Linked DNA regions of Mytilus edulis. The protein of the gene in region 1 purifies or fractionates together with the protein of each later gene. This does not show direct contact. Links are inferred from orthologs where the notes say so. Each region holds a gene or a part of one and is shown on either strand. Other genes may lie near its edges.

Region 1 (7,701 bases):
CTGAACAAATAAATAAAATACAATAAGGATACAAACACTATTTACATCCTTTGATAAAAAGCATATTGCTATCATTATATACCTTATTACCACCATGTATATGTGGATTGTCACAAACCCATGCCACACAGTCCACAACATCTTGTATCATATCATCCACATAGCCCTACAAAAACAATTATTGTTTATCAATGGAATCAATCTCATATTATATAGTACAAACTAGGTCAGACTTTTTTCACTTCTTGTATTTCTATAATTTGTCCATTGTATTACAAAAACCTACGGTATAAAAACTCAATAAAATAAGATTTTAAAATAAGTTTTAGTACATGTTTTAGTACATGTACTGGTATAAATACAATCTGTAAATTATTTGGTTATTGTTGAATATGTATGCATGTATCATTAACATTGTGTTCACATTACAATTTCTTAGGAAATGATGTAATGTGTAAATTTCATTGTAGGGGTATTTTCTCTTACTTTTGTGATCACATTAACTGCAAAAAATAGTTGAATCCAAAAAGATATTCATGGAATGTTAGGATGATACAAGTCATTTCTTCCATATATTATGTTTTGAAACATAATAAAAAAAGCTAACATGTAGGTCATTTTGAACAGCTGCTCAAATGCAGTTTAAACCACAAGAAGGTTTAAAAAATACAAAATATAGTACATAGACCAAACTGTAGTTGTTTATGAAAGAGTTACAATGAATGACCAAAGATCAATTGGAGTAAATGTTGTCATTCAACAATCATTTCTTACTATGACTTAATAATTTATACATAAGTTTTGTGACATAGGAATTGTACAGGAAAATGTATGAATTTGAATTTAAAGTCAACAACCAACCTTTGGATAAATTGATAAATTAGGACAACACACTACTGCTTTTAGTCTATTGGCAATCTCTACACAAAGTGGACCATACATGGTCTTTTCTCCAGAAGACCAGGCCCCTCCATACACAAACACTACTACTGGCATTGACATATCACCACCATCCTTTCGTGGAATGTTAGGATGATACAAGTCTAGCGTACAATCATTTCTCCCATATGGTATGTTCTAAAATAAAACAACAAAAGCTAAAATATAACAAGCTTACATATAAGTCCCTTTTACCAGCAGTTTAATTGTTCTTTAAAACAGAATTTATTTGTAAATATACAATACAATACATTATCTTTAAAAAGTAAGTTTATACTCCTCATAGCCAGACAAAATGTGCACACTATATGCCTCTCTGACTGTGAAGAACAAATCCTGAATGTTACATTGACATTGACTACTCATATTTTTTACAATGATTTACAAAGCACTGACTTCCCTCTGACATTAAATAACAAAGCACAGGTTCTTTACCTTTCTGACAGTGATAGACAAGGCAATGGCCATTTGAAAGTACAATTCTGGCAGTTAGGTTTACCTTTATGACAGTGAAAGACAAGGCAATGGCCATTTGAAAGTACAATTCTGGCAGTTAGGTTTACCTTTAAGACAGTGAAAGACAAGGCAATGGCCATTTGAAGGTACAAATCTGGCAGTTAGGTTCTTTACCTTTCTGACAGTGAAAGACAAGCAATGCCCATTTGAAGGTACAAATCTGGCAGTTAGGTTTACCTTTCTGACAGTGAAAGACAAGGCAATGGCCATTTGAAGGTACAAATCTGGCAGTTAGGTTCTTTATTTACCTTCCTCACAGTAAATGGATCTAGGTTGTTGTAGAGTTTCTTCCATTTCAGGTAGGAAGATGCATATTTCAAGGTAGTATATAACTTTTGTAGTACGGCAAAATTAAAAGCATAAACTTTTTTTGGACTAAATGCTCTACGATATTTGTTCTTTGTATTAGGCCAACCATACAGTAGACTTCCAAGCAATGACGTTGTGTAGGGTATTACCACTGCTGTAGATGTCACAAGCAGGACTGTCTGTACTATTTGCTTAAGCATTGCTATTGCTACAAAATAAAAGACAATGTAAAAAAATCATGCAATCATGGATTTAAGACTGATTCTACTTCTATTTTTGTTTCATGCCCAAAAATCTCCAAGTTTCAGTGAACTATCTGAATCTAACAATTCTTTTCTTACAGATGAAAAATATCAGACAGAACAATTTTATACACAAAAAAACAATTATTATAATTATATGTATAATGATTCCTTTTAAAATCTACAATTGTATATAAGCCTTAACTTGGACAAATAAAATAAACAGAACATAACTCCACAGTGCACAGTTCAGATTGAATCTGTAATTTAGTTTTGTTGGGAAAATAAGTGAAAATGTTCATACTCCTACTAGTACTTAATCTATTATCTGCTCATAGGGGTCTCAATGGGGCGTTCTGATCCCGGATCCTGCTTACTGTTTTGTCAGATTCCCGTATCCTGCTAACACTATGTACGTAAGCAATTCTCATTTTTTTGCCATTTCCCGGGTCCTGCTAGACCTCATTTCCGGTTTTAACGACACAATAATTTGACTTTCACGTGTCCCGCTTACAAAAAATCAGCAATCCCGAGTCACGCTTAGACCCCAATGAGACCTATCTCATAATCTAATGAAAATTTACTACTGGTGTTTAAAACAAAATCAAAGATCTTTCATCATATAATTATAGAGTCGCTGCCAAAATCATGTGTTATGGTGTCTACAAAATGTTTTCTTTCATGCAGCAAGTGATCCTGAACTTATCAAATGGGACCTATCCTCTCCTAATAAAGATGAAGATTAAATAAACTGATAAGTATTAACCTCTCTCATGAAATGCCTTGAGTAGAGGGTTTACAGAAGCTGAGCTTATGCACAACTCTATAAACCTATTTTGAATAAAAGATTGTATAAACTATAAAGTGCCTACAAAATATATTATAATGCATTCAGGTGACTTCCAATGTGTAAGCTTTACATTGAGAATGGTTTATCCTTTCCTCATGATAAATCATTGTAGCATTAAGTGAAGGTGGATGTAAGTGTAAATTACTCACTATCCAAATATTGTTGATGTAAACAAAGTTCTATACAATCATCCCCTTCCAAACAATCATCATGTACAAACCAGTAAAGGCAGTTAAATATGTTTTGGATCTGAAATTTAAAATTCATATAGTTATAATGGTCATATAAACTACACTTAATTACCATTTTCCTTTTATTTTTATTGTTTACAGCTTTTCTATACTCTAGATTTTGCCAAAAATGCCAACTTAGATGCATGATTTTTTTTTTATTAGTTGTTAGTGGCTTTGAACTAGCTGTCAGTAACTGTGAGTTTTCTCTGATCTCAAGTGTCTTTTTGTTGATAACATCTTGAATATGTTGTACCAAGATTGCTTTAAGAAGTGATTTTTTAGTATTTTAATCTTTTAACGTGGGAAATTTTGATAAAGTAAAACAGTGAGCTATGAATTACTCATGATACCCAAGCTATCAAGTAATTGATAAAAAGAAAAATTGAAGAGCAATAGATATGCATATTACCACAAGGCATTGCATGTATTCATGAAGTTTGAAAATGAATTTATCAATATTTGTAGATCCCTGGAAAAAATGCAACTAAAACTTCATACACAGCCATTAATATGTGTGAAGCTCCTTTTTCGTTGTCTCAAGAACTAAAAGACATTTAGAAGTCTTCAACAATAGGCAGGTCCCTTAAACTATAGTTAAGTTCTAAATCCACCCAAGTCTATAAAAATGTTCATTTTAGTTCAATTAAATCAATATGATGCAATTGCTTCAGAGGTTAATTGGTGCTTCATATGCTCCTTTTTGGTGTGATAAGATACGCTTTAAATCATATGCTTTTGAATGTTTTTCTTGCATAAAATGTCGATAAGAAACTAAAGGAAAAAATAAGATATTATTCTTCTTCCATATATACTACCCACATCTAACCCTTCCCTCACCTCACACCTGGGACAGTGGTGTGACAGTACAGCAAAATAACATAATGTATGATGTCACACCAAATAATTTAGGAATGACTTTGCCTGTGATATTGTTAATGTGGGGGACTTTTATTAGTATTAGGGGTATAGACTTATTAGCCCTAATCACCCTTGCTACTATTTATGATATAACTCAGTTGAGGGATAAGTTGTCCACCTTAAATTTACCTTTGGGCTTTGGATGGTTGTCTCCAAACTGATAATGACATAAAATATTTAAGATATGTTATGTTCTATTTAAAGAGAATCGAATAATATTTCGTTATAGCGGAATACCGAAATATGAGGAGCTGTCACACATTATTTTTACCACAAATTGCTATATTCTGAAGTGCTTTGAAAAGCAGACAACTTTGAAACCGGAAGCGGAAACCACTGTGTAAAGGTGAAGGACAAAAGGGGATATGGCGACGACCAGTCGCATACTTTTCCTTTCATTGTTTATTTCAACTTTTTCCCTATTTTTCATTGAACAAGGTAATTAATATCAATTGATCTTTTTTTCATATGTTAGTTTTTTAGAATGGCCACTGCCTACAGGAAAATACTACTTTAATTTATTTTAATAAGCGGTTTCTTCAATATTTACACACAAAAATTGTCAAAAATACTGAACTCAAATACACACTTTGACACAGGAAGAGCACGCCCCCTAAAAAGGAAATGAAGTAAAGGCAAGGATTTATATGCTGTATACATTCTTAGATAAGATATTATTCAAATGTATATTCTTAATGAAAATTTGAAGCAGTTAAATGATATTATTTTCATGATATCTTTTTATATTTATAAACAAATAATTTAAACTTCATCAAATTCATCTGATTCAAGCAATAAACATGATAAAGCATCACATAACTGTGAATGTGTGTTGCTAAAAAGTTCTAGGGGACACACCATAAAGCCTGCATGTATTGATATTTACCTGCATTTGTTATCAGAAATGTGTGATGTAAACAAATGAATTTAATATATTTCATAGATAATAAATTTAATCGGACCACAGATAAATTATCACGTTGTGATTGGGTAAACACCGTCATGTAGTGACCCCCTATGAGACTGTAGGGGGTTAGTAAGTTTCATAGGGGGTTCATGACGCGTTAATGGTGACGTAATCTATTGCTATTGTTGTGTTTCATTGTTTATTTTTAGAAAAATTCCAGCGTCCGATAAATTCGTTATACGGTTAACTACTGACCCCCTACGGATCCATAGAGGGTGAATAAAATTCATAGGGGATTCGGCATCCGGCCTCACCCCCTATGGATTTTACTTACCCTCTTTTGATCTGTATGGGGTCAGTAGCCAACCATATAACTTATAAGGGCAAAGATAAAAGGCCTGATCTGAGATAAAAAAAAAAAAAAAGTTCGCCCAGGAATAATTTAGAATTATTTTCCAATTGAAGATAATATGGCTAAAACTGATTATAACATAAGGTTTCTGTTTTTATACGACCGCAACAATTTTTATTTTTTGGTCGTATATTGCTATCACGTTGGCGTCGTCGTCCGAATACTTTTAGTTTTCATACTCTAACTTTAGTAAAAGTGAATAGAAATCAATGAAATTTTAACACAAGGTTTAAACCCACTAAAGGAAGGTTGGGATTGATTTTGGGAGTTTTGGTCCCAACATTTTAGGAATTAGGGGCCAAAAAGGGCCCAAATAAGCATTTTCTTGGTTTTCACACCATAACTTTAGTATAAGTAAATAGAAATCTATGAAATTTAAACACAAGGTTTATGACCACAAAAGGAAGGTTGGGATTGATTTTGGAAGTTGAGGTCACAACAGTTTAGGAATTAGGGGCCAAAAAGGGGCCCAAATAAGCATTATTTTTGGTTTTCGCACCATATCTTTAGTATAAGTAAATAGAAATCTATGAAATTTAAACACAAGGTTTATGACCATAAAAGGAAGGTTAGGTTTGATTTTGGGAGTTTTGGTTCCAACAGTTTAGGAATTAGGGGCCCAAAGGGTCCAAAATTGAACTTTGTTTGATTTCATCAAAAATTGAATAATTGGGGTTCTTTGATATGCCGAATCTAACTATGTATGTAGATTCTTAATTTTTGGTCCCGTTTTCAAATTGGTCTACATTAAGGTCCAAAGGGTCCAAAATTAAACTTAGTTTGATTTTAACAAAAATTGAATCATTTGGGTTCTTTGATATGCTGAATCTAAAAATGTACTTAGATTTTTAATTATTGGCCCAGTTTTCAAGTTGGTCCAAATGGGGGTCCAAAATTAAACTTTGTTTGATTTCATCAAACATTGAATAAATGGGGTTCTTTGATATGCCAAATCTAACTGTGTATGTAGATTCTTAATTTTTGGTCCAGTTGTCAAATTGGTCTACCGTAAGGTAAGGTCCAAAGGGTCCAAAATTAAACTAAGTTTGATTTTAACAAAAATTAAATTCTTGGGCTTCTTTGATATGCTGAATCTAAAAATGTACTTAGATTTTTAATTATTGGCCCAGTTTTCAAGTTGGTCCAAATGGGGGTCCAAAATTAAACTTTGTTTGATTTCATCAAACATTGAATAAATGGGGTTCTTTGATATGCCAAATCTAACTGTGTATGTAGATTCTTAATTTTTGGTCCAGTTGTCAAATTGGTCTACCGTAAGGTCCAAAGGGTCCAAAATTAAACTAAGTTTGATTTTAACAAAAATTAAATTCTTGGGCTTCTTTGATATGCTTTATCTAAACATGTACTTTGATTTTTGATTATGGGCCCAGTTTTCAAGTTCAAGTCCAAATCAGGATTCAGTATTATCATATCAAGTATTGTGCAATAGCAAGAAATTTTCAATTGCACAGTATTGCACAATAGCAAGAAATATCTAATTGCACAATATTGTGCAATAGCAATTAATTTTCAATTGGAGTTATCGTTCTTTGTATAGAATAGTAGTTGAATTAACTTTAATCATTGTTTTATACAATATACAATGTATTTTCATTTTTACTACCAACTGATAAATTAAAATAATCTTTACCATTCAGTGATAACAAGCACTTTTTATTACATTTTAATATTGTATGATGTATTTAAATGAGCAGTTATTGTTGCAAACTTCATCAGAAATTTGAATTGATCAGTTTTAAATATTTGATTCACTTATAAAATTGGTCCACATTGAGGCCTACAAAGTTTAAAATTAAACATTACTTGATTTCATCAAAAAATTAATTTTTAGAATTCTATAATATCCTGAATATAATCATGTATCTATATTTTGGATATTTACCATAATAGTTTAATATCCAATTTAAAAATTTTAAATTCTAATTTTAATTTCTTAAACCAAATTCATAATGTGACATAAACCTATGTTGTGTCAACTATTTAATCACAATCCACATTTATAGCTGTATCAAACTTAAAAGTTGTGTCCATACTTGTCCCATCTATTCAGGGTTCTACAATGTACATCTGCGGTCGTATAATGCTGCGCCCTGCGAAGCAACTGGTTGTCTTTTGTTTTTTAGATTTTGGTTTTATTTACTATTGTATGTTTGAACTATCGTGCCCAATACACTTTCACACCCTACACGTTCGCACCTCACATGTTCGCCTCCCAAGTCTATTCGGGTCCAATTTTTATTTAAATTGCAGTTGTATTATCAGCTCTTTGTTTTTTGTATATAACAAATATTTTTTTAATAAAATTTGAGGAATTATTATAAAGATTTTTTTTTTATCAATTTGATGATTACTGC
Region 2 (7,456 bases), on another chromosome or scaffold:
ACGCTTTGGTTTTTGAGTTATAAGCCAAAAACTGCATTTTACCCCTATGTTCTATTTTTAGCCATGGCGGCCATCTTGGTTGGATGGCTGGGTCATCAGACACATTTTTTAAACTAGATACCCCAAAGATGATTGTGAATAAGTTTGGATTAATTTGGCCCAGTAGTTTCAGAGGAGAAGATTTTTGTATAAGATTACTAAAATTTACGAAAAATGGTTAAAAATTGACTATAAAGGGCAATAACTCCTAAAGGGGTCAACTGACCATTTCGGTCATGTTGACTTATTTGTAAATCTTACTTTGCTGAACATAATGGCTGTTTACAGTTTATCTCTATCTATAATAATATACAAGATAATAACCAAAAACAGCAAAATTTCCTTAAAATTACCAATTCAGGGGCAGCAACCCAACAACAGGTTGTCAGATTCATCTGAAAATTTCAGGGTAGATAGATCTTGACCTGATAAACAATTTTACCAAATGTCAGATTTGCTCTAAATGCTTTGGTTTTTAAGTTATAAGCCAAAAACTGCATTTTACCCCTATGTTCTATTTTTAGCCGTGGCGGCCATCTTGGTTGGTTGGCCGGGTCACCGGACACATTTTTTAAACTAGATACCCCAAAGATAATTGTGGCCAAGTTTGGATAAATTTGGCCCAGTAGTTTCAGAGGAGAAGATTTTTGTAAAAGATTATTAAGATTTACGAAAAATGGTTAAAAATTGACTATAAAGGGCAATAACTCCTAAAGGGGTCAACTGATCATTTCGGTCATGTTGACTTATTTGTAAATCTTACTTTGCTGAACATTATTGCTGTTTACTGTTTATCTCTATCTATAATAATATTCAAGATAATAACCAAAAACAGCAAAATTTCCTTAAAATTACTAATTCAGGGGCAGCAACCCAACAACGGGTTATCCGATTCATCTGAAAATTTCAGGGCAGGTAGATCTTGACCTGTTACACAAGTTTACCCCATGTCAGATTTGCTCTAAATGCTTTGGTTTTTGAGTTATAAGCCAAAAACTGCATTTTACCCCTATGTTCTATTTTTAGCCATGGCGGCCATCTTGGATGGTTGGCCGGGTCACCGGACACATTTTTTAAACTAGATACCCCAATGATGATTTTGGCCAAGTTTGGTGTAATTTGGCCCAGTAGTTTCAGAGGAGAAGATTTTTGTAAAAGTTAACGACGCCAGACGACGGACGACAGACGACGGACGACGGACGCCAAGTGATGGGAAAAGCTCACTTGGCCCTTTGGGCCAGGTGAGCTAAAAATCTAATTACATGGTTAGATTCAGCATATTGAAGAACCCCATATTGAATTTTTGTTGAAATCAAACAAAGTTTAATTTTGGACCATGATTTGGACTAACTTGAAAACTGGGACCATAATTATAAAAAAAACTAAGTACATGTTTAGATTCAGCATATCAAAGAACCCCAAAAATTCAATTTTTGTTAAAATCAAACTAAGTTTAATTTTGGACCCTTAATGTAGACCAATTTGAAAACGGGACCAAAAATTAAGAATCTAAATACACGGTTAGATTTGGTATATCAAAGAACCCCAATAGTTCAATATTAGATGAAATCAAACAAAGTTTAATTTTTGACCCTTTTTGCCCCTAATTCGTTGGGACCAAAACTCCCAAAATCAATACCAACCTACCTTTTGTTGTCATAAACCTTTGTGTTAAAATTTCATAGATTTCTATAAACTTTTACTAAAGTTTTTGTGCAAAAACCAAGAAAATTGCTTATTTTGGGACCTGTTTTTGGCCCCTAATTCCTAAACTGTTGGGACTTAAACTCCCAAAATCATTCCAACCTTACTTTCGTGGTCATAAATCTTATTTTAAAATTTCATAGATTTCTCACTCACTGTTTACTTATGCTAAAGTTATTGTGCGAAAACCAAGAACAATGCTTTTTTGGGCCCTTGTTGGCCCCTAATTCGTATACTGTTGGGACCAAAACACCCAAAATCAACCCTGACCTTCCTTTTATGGTCATAAACCTTGTGTTTGAATTTCATAGATTTCTAATTACTTATACTAAAGTTAGAGTGTGAAAACCAAATGTCTTCGGACGACGACGCCAACGTGATACCAATATACAACCAAAAAATTTTCAATTTTTGCGGTTGTATAAAAATGTCTGACACCACAACGTACATTAAGTAAATGATTATCATGATTATTGTATGCATTTATAGCTTTTGCAATATTCAAGTTAAAACTTATATGACTTAGGTGACTAAAATGGTGCCATTGTGGCAGATTCTTGGGTCAAGTGCTACAGATCCGAAACAGGGATAAGGTCTATTATGTGTTTTTGCATTATTCAGTTTTTATATAAATAAATTTTTATTTACAATTTTATCGATACATGTTATTTTGTTTTTTAAGTACATGTAGTTCTTCAACAAGATCACATCACATATATATTTAACATAGATCACAAGAGACATATAAAATACATCATTTATGGAAATTACATGAGGTATATTTCTAGGTGTCAACACATCATACCAACTAAAATCCATATATTCAGTGGCGGATCCAGAAATTTTCCTAAGGGGGGACCGCTCCAGTCATGCTTCAATGATTCCCTATATAATCAACCAAATTTTTCCCATGGATCCGCCGATGATATTTCTTTTACTTAACAGCTAAAAAAATGTATGCCAAAAAAAAAATCAAACACTTCTGCATCTGTCTTTCACTTTCAGTACTGTTCCAGACCTTATGCTTTTTCGTTGTAAAGGAATATCACATATTAAACAAAACAAATCAAAAGTGTGTATTGCAATAAGTGAAAAATGGCCTGGTAAAGAAGAAAGCAAACAATAAACAAAGTCAAAGGTCTCAAACAGGCCCTATAGTTCCCTTATTTTTGGAAACTGAAGAACTTGTCATTCATCTAATGAACAAGAAACACCGACAAGTGTACAGAATCTCTTTTAGATGTTATATAACGACTCTATAAAGTTTGTTTAAATTATTATTTCAATACAAATGAAATGTAATTCTTATTTTGGACAACGTGTGGAGCTAGACAAACTGTGTTGACACATTCACAAACGTTAAGATAATTACATTTCTACCTTTTGATGTGTTCGCTGTCCAGCCAATCAACAATTAACGCCTTCAGTTAATTATTGGTCATTAATTAATCGATCAATTTGGAAGTGTGTTGAGATAATTGCATACAAATTTCCACTGTACTGTGTATGGCGACAGAATGACTGAGAGCCGAATCACTCAAATACAATCCTTTGAATTAATGCTCATCCGGAAGTAACCTCTCATTTCCCGTAATTTTAAGAAAACAATACTTTTGATATTACGTTAAATATTTTTCAAATACTTAAACCGGTATATACCATCAACAAAAAGTGTACCAAACTTGACTTTGTTTCAAAAGTTTTACCGGGAAAGATACTTTTACTGCCGAACTCATTTTCAGGCGGATAGTTTCTAAATAAGATTTGTGAATAGGGGGCACTGGCGACAGGTTGACGGCTTCTAATAAATTCAATCCAGTGCCGATAAAATGCACCCATAGCACTGTAGTAGGTCAGAAAAACACAACGCCAATTGTAGAAAATAAAAGTTAGTTTATAAATATTCACACTGCCAAATTTACCTGTTTCTGTTTGTAGTAAGTTCACAGTTGTTTCCCGTGTTTTGTTCTTACCTCCCCTTTCAGGGATTCCCCTTTTTAAAAGATAAACAAAGATTTGCACGTGGATTTGTGTCGGACAAAATAAGGTATAATTTCATGAGGTATAATAAAACTTTGAACCAAAAGATCTTCGCATCATGGTATCCCTACATAATATTTAGATAACTTATAACGGATGTAATAAAAAAAATCTAATAGGGCACCAAATAGTCTGATCTAAGTCTAAGCAAGGATTTGTATAGTTAATATACAAATCTTTGGTCTAAGATCTTGAAAATGAAAGGTTATACAGTTATGCTGTGCATGCTGCTTTGGAATTGGATTTTTTATTTGTATATTTTTTTGTATTATTTGACTATAGAGTGTCAAATTACAGGGCCCATGAAGGGCATAAAATCAGTTACAATAGACCACTTTCGAGTTCATCCGTCACCGGCAAAAACTCGTCAATTATGCACGCCTTTATGACGTCATTTACCAGATAGAGGGGGTCGCCTGTATCCCTGCACTATTTACGTTCATCAAGCGTCTTAAGGATCGTCTTTGTGCAGGATAAACTAGAAATAATGGTTGCTCTGTAGGTACTTACTGACAATTCCCTAACGACAGCAGTGTTGATTGTCAATTTTGAGAATTCAATTTGCCGAATAATTCGTATAATATAGAACTATAGTTTTCCAACCACTCGCTCAACATTGGAAGGGAAGTGACGACGCCCCGAAACGCACAAATGACGGTGATAAAAGCGCGTATAATTCACGAGTTTTTCCGGTGACGGATGAACTCGAAAGTGGTCTATTGATTGACATCATTGGTAATCAGGTAATTACAACAAGCTTTGGTCAGAATTACAACAACAATATATATTGTGAATTAAGGATTACAGATACATTATATGCATTCACTCTCAAATTATCTACTAGACTTAGTGTCAATATAAGATGATTTATACCTGATCTCCTTTATTATATGAATATATAATATAGGCTTATACCTAAATAATGATAATATATAATATAGGCTTATACCTAAATAATGATAATTCTAAAACATTTACTTGAAATGTTTTTATATAAGGTAATCTGGCGCAATACCCGCAAGGGTAGTCGCCATTAAACTCTATTTAGTCATGTTAGTAGTAGTCCTTTATTTGAAAAAGTGAGACAAAGCAATCATACATTCCATCGTCATTGTTGTAGTCGTCAGCGTTGTCCACAAATATTCACTCTGTGGTTAAAGTTTATGATATTTGAATAACTTTCTTAAACTATCCTGGATTTCTATCAAATGTGGACAGAAGCTTGTTTATGATCAAACGATAGAATCCAGAAGTAAAATTTCCTGATTTTTTTGTTATTTTTCTTATATAAATGGACTTAGTTTTTGTGCCAGGAAACATAACATTTACTCTGTGGTTAAAGTTTTTAAAATTTTAATACCTTTCTTAAACTATCCTGGAATTCAACCAAACTTTGACAGAACCTTGTTTATGATCAAAAGCTAGTATATATAAAGTATATATAAAGATTGAAATTTTGTTGAAATTTTGTTCCTGTTTTTCTGTATTTTACTTATAAACGGAATTGGTTTTTCTTCCAGTTAACATTACATACAGTCTGCAGTTAAGTTTATTAAACATTTATTAGATTCATAAACTATCCTGGATTTTTACCAAATTTGGACAGAAGCTTCTTACTATCAAAAGATAGTATCGAGGAATATTTAGAATTCCCCCCCCCCCCCCCCCCCCTGAATTTTGTTGAGCCTGCGATTAACACCAAAATTAGGGGAAACACTGGGTTCTTCAGAACCTTTATAAATTTTTTTCATAAGAGTTAAGATTTCTTGGGTCAAAAGCCATAAAAATTTGGAAGATTTATTTAAGTTTTCATTATTATTACAAATAATAAAAATGTATTGATAATATAATAATTAAAACAATGGATTGAGTTCATGTATTATGGGTAATAAGTTCTCTTTTATATTGCAGATTTTGACTGAAGATTACAATGTACTAGATAGAATATGGCTTCTAATATAATATATCTTGAAGGAAAAGCAATAGATGATGAAACAATTTTAGTTCCACTGTCATCTGCAGCCCTTCTGTTTGTTGTTCAATACTGCAGCCCGGAATCATTTAGTTTAAAATTTACAAGGACAAATTTGGATGAAGCTAATTGTTTTAAAATCAGTCGTGATACCTTAGATAAAACAGAACATGTGTTTGACATTGATGATGAACAAGACTGTTTGCTTCCAGTTATACGACAGACAGATGATATTTGGGTCAGATCAGGGTTATGTGGAACCATAAGATACATTGTGTCACAGGCACATATTGACAGACCGCAAGAGCATCTAGACGATCTTTTGGTATGGCTTCTTTATCATGTCCATAGCTAAATTCTCTTTTTGACAATGAAAATAAAATAGAAATTAGAACTATTATAATAATTATATTTTGATAAAAACTTGAGATTTTTTTATGTACTCAGAAATTTTAGCCATTTGTAAATGTTTGAAATTTTTCTTATTTTTATCTCATTATAATAAATTCTTTATTTCAGTTGGTAAATTTTGAGTTATGATAATAGTCAATTTATATGCTTTGATCATTTTTGGACTTGTACCTCAAGGCCAAGCATGAAATCTCTTCACGATTTTGTAATTTTAGTTGTTTTTTTTAAATTCAAGTTAGGATATTATTCTATTCAATTAGTTAGTTAGAACAGTTAACAATTGATTTAACTTTCTGCGCAAAGGCAATTTATAATTTTACTTAATAGTTACATGTTATTCTTTAGAATATGAATTTTATTAAAGCTGAGCTATGAAATTATTCTTCATTACATATAATGCTTTAACATTTCAAGTAGAATAAGCCAATTATAATTCTGTAAGTTTTCCACTGAGAGCCAATTTTTCGACACATGGTATGAATTGATAAGTATTTCCTGTCATTGTTATATAGTTACATTGTAATTTAATTAGAAAAAAGGTGATTCATATAAGTAAATCCACTTTGGATAAGCTTTCAAAAGTGATTATATTTCATAATAAGTCTTTTTCAAGGATCTGATTTTAATGATTTGACCATTAGATGTAAACAATGTAAATATAATGTAAATATAATGCATACTTTCTTGATAATGCTTGCAGACAATATATACCTTTTTATTTATTTACATTGTAACTTATTGATGCAGAATTAGATATGTTAGATTTTTCTCTGATTTTAATGATTGAGAGGAAAAATGATATATTTATTTTTTGAGATGATTCAATATATTAGTTTCCTAAATATTTTTGAGATTATTAAATATATTAGTTTCCTTGATATTTTTGAGATGATTAGATATATAAGTTTCCTATTTTAATAGCTCTCCTATTGCTTTTGGGGGTTCATGAAGGAACAAAAGTTTAACATTAGTTAAATGGTTATTATATAATTATCATTACAAAAAAAAAATACTTGTTTACTTGTAACAAGCAATGATCATTTAAAATACCTCTAATCCTTCAATAGATTCTGAAATGGCAAATTGTGAATTTCAATGATGAAAATCTATATCTTTAAATTAATTTTGGTCTAGAATTTGATACATTTGTAGTTGCTCCTTAAGTAAACGTGTTGCTTGAATTAACCAACATGCTTTTGACCTTATGCAACGACACTGGTCCAAGAGTACCATCAAGGTCAAATACTTTTGAAAAGATAACAAGGTTCCAAAATGCATAAATATAGAAAC

Evidence for each region.
Region 2: the proteins of bone morphogenetic protein receptor type-1B-like (region 1) and mothers against decapentaplegic homolog 1-like purify together in Drosophila melanogaster (affinity purification with western blotting; 3 studies listed by BioGRID). This does not show direct contact. The link is inferred for Mytilus edulis from reciprocal best matches to the Drosophila melanogaster genes tkv and Mad.

The regions. Positions count from the first base shown.
Region 1 is NC_092352.1:12,172,291-12,179,991, forward strand, and holds the start of bone morphogenetic protein receptor type-1B-like, read left to right. Parts: upstream 1-4,335; 5' UTR 4,336-4,372; coding exon 4,373-4,445; intron 4,446-7,701. Other genes in the region: uncharacterized protein, read right to left, coding at 83-166, 862-1,077, 1,704-1,972, 3,006-3,193.
Region 2 is NC_092351.1:44,919,655-44,927,110, forward strand, and holds the start of mothers against decapentaplegic homolog 1-like, read right to left. Parts: upstream 3,297-7,456; 5' UTR 3,124-3,296; exon of another isoform or gene 3,116-3,123; intron 1-3,115. Other genes in the region: glutathione S-transferase C-terminal domain-containing protein-like, read left to right, coding at 5,730-6,080.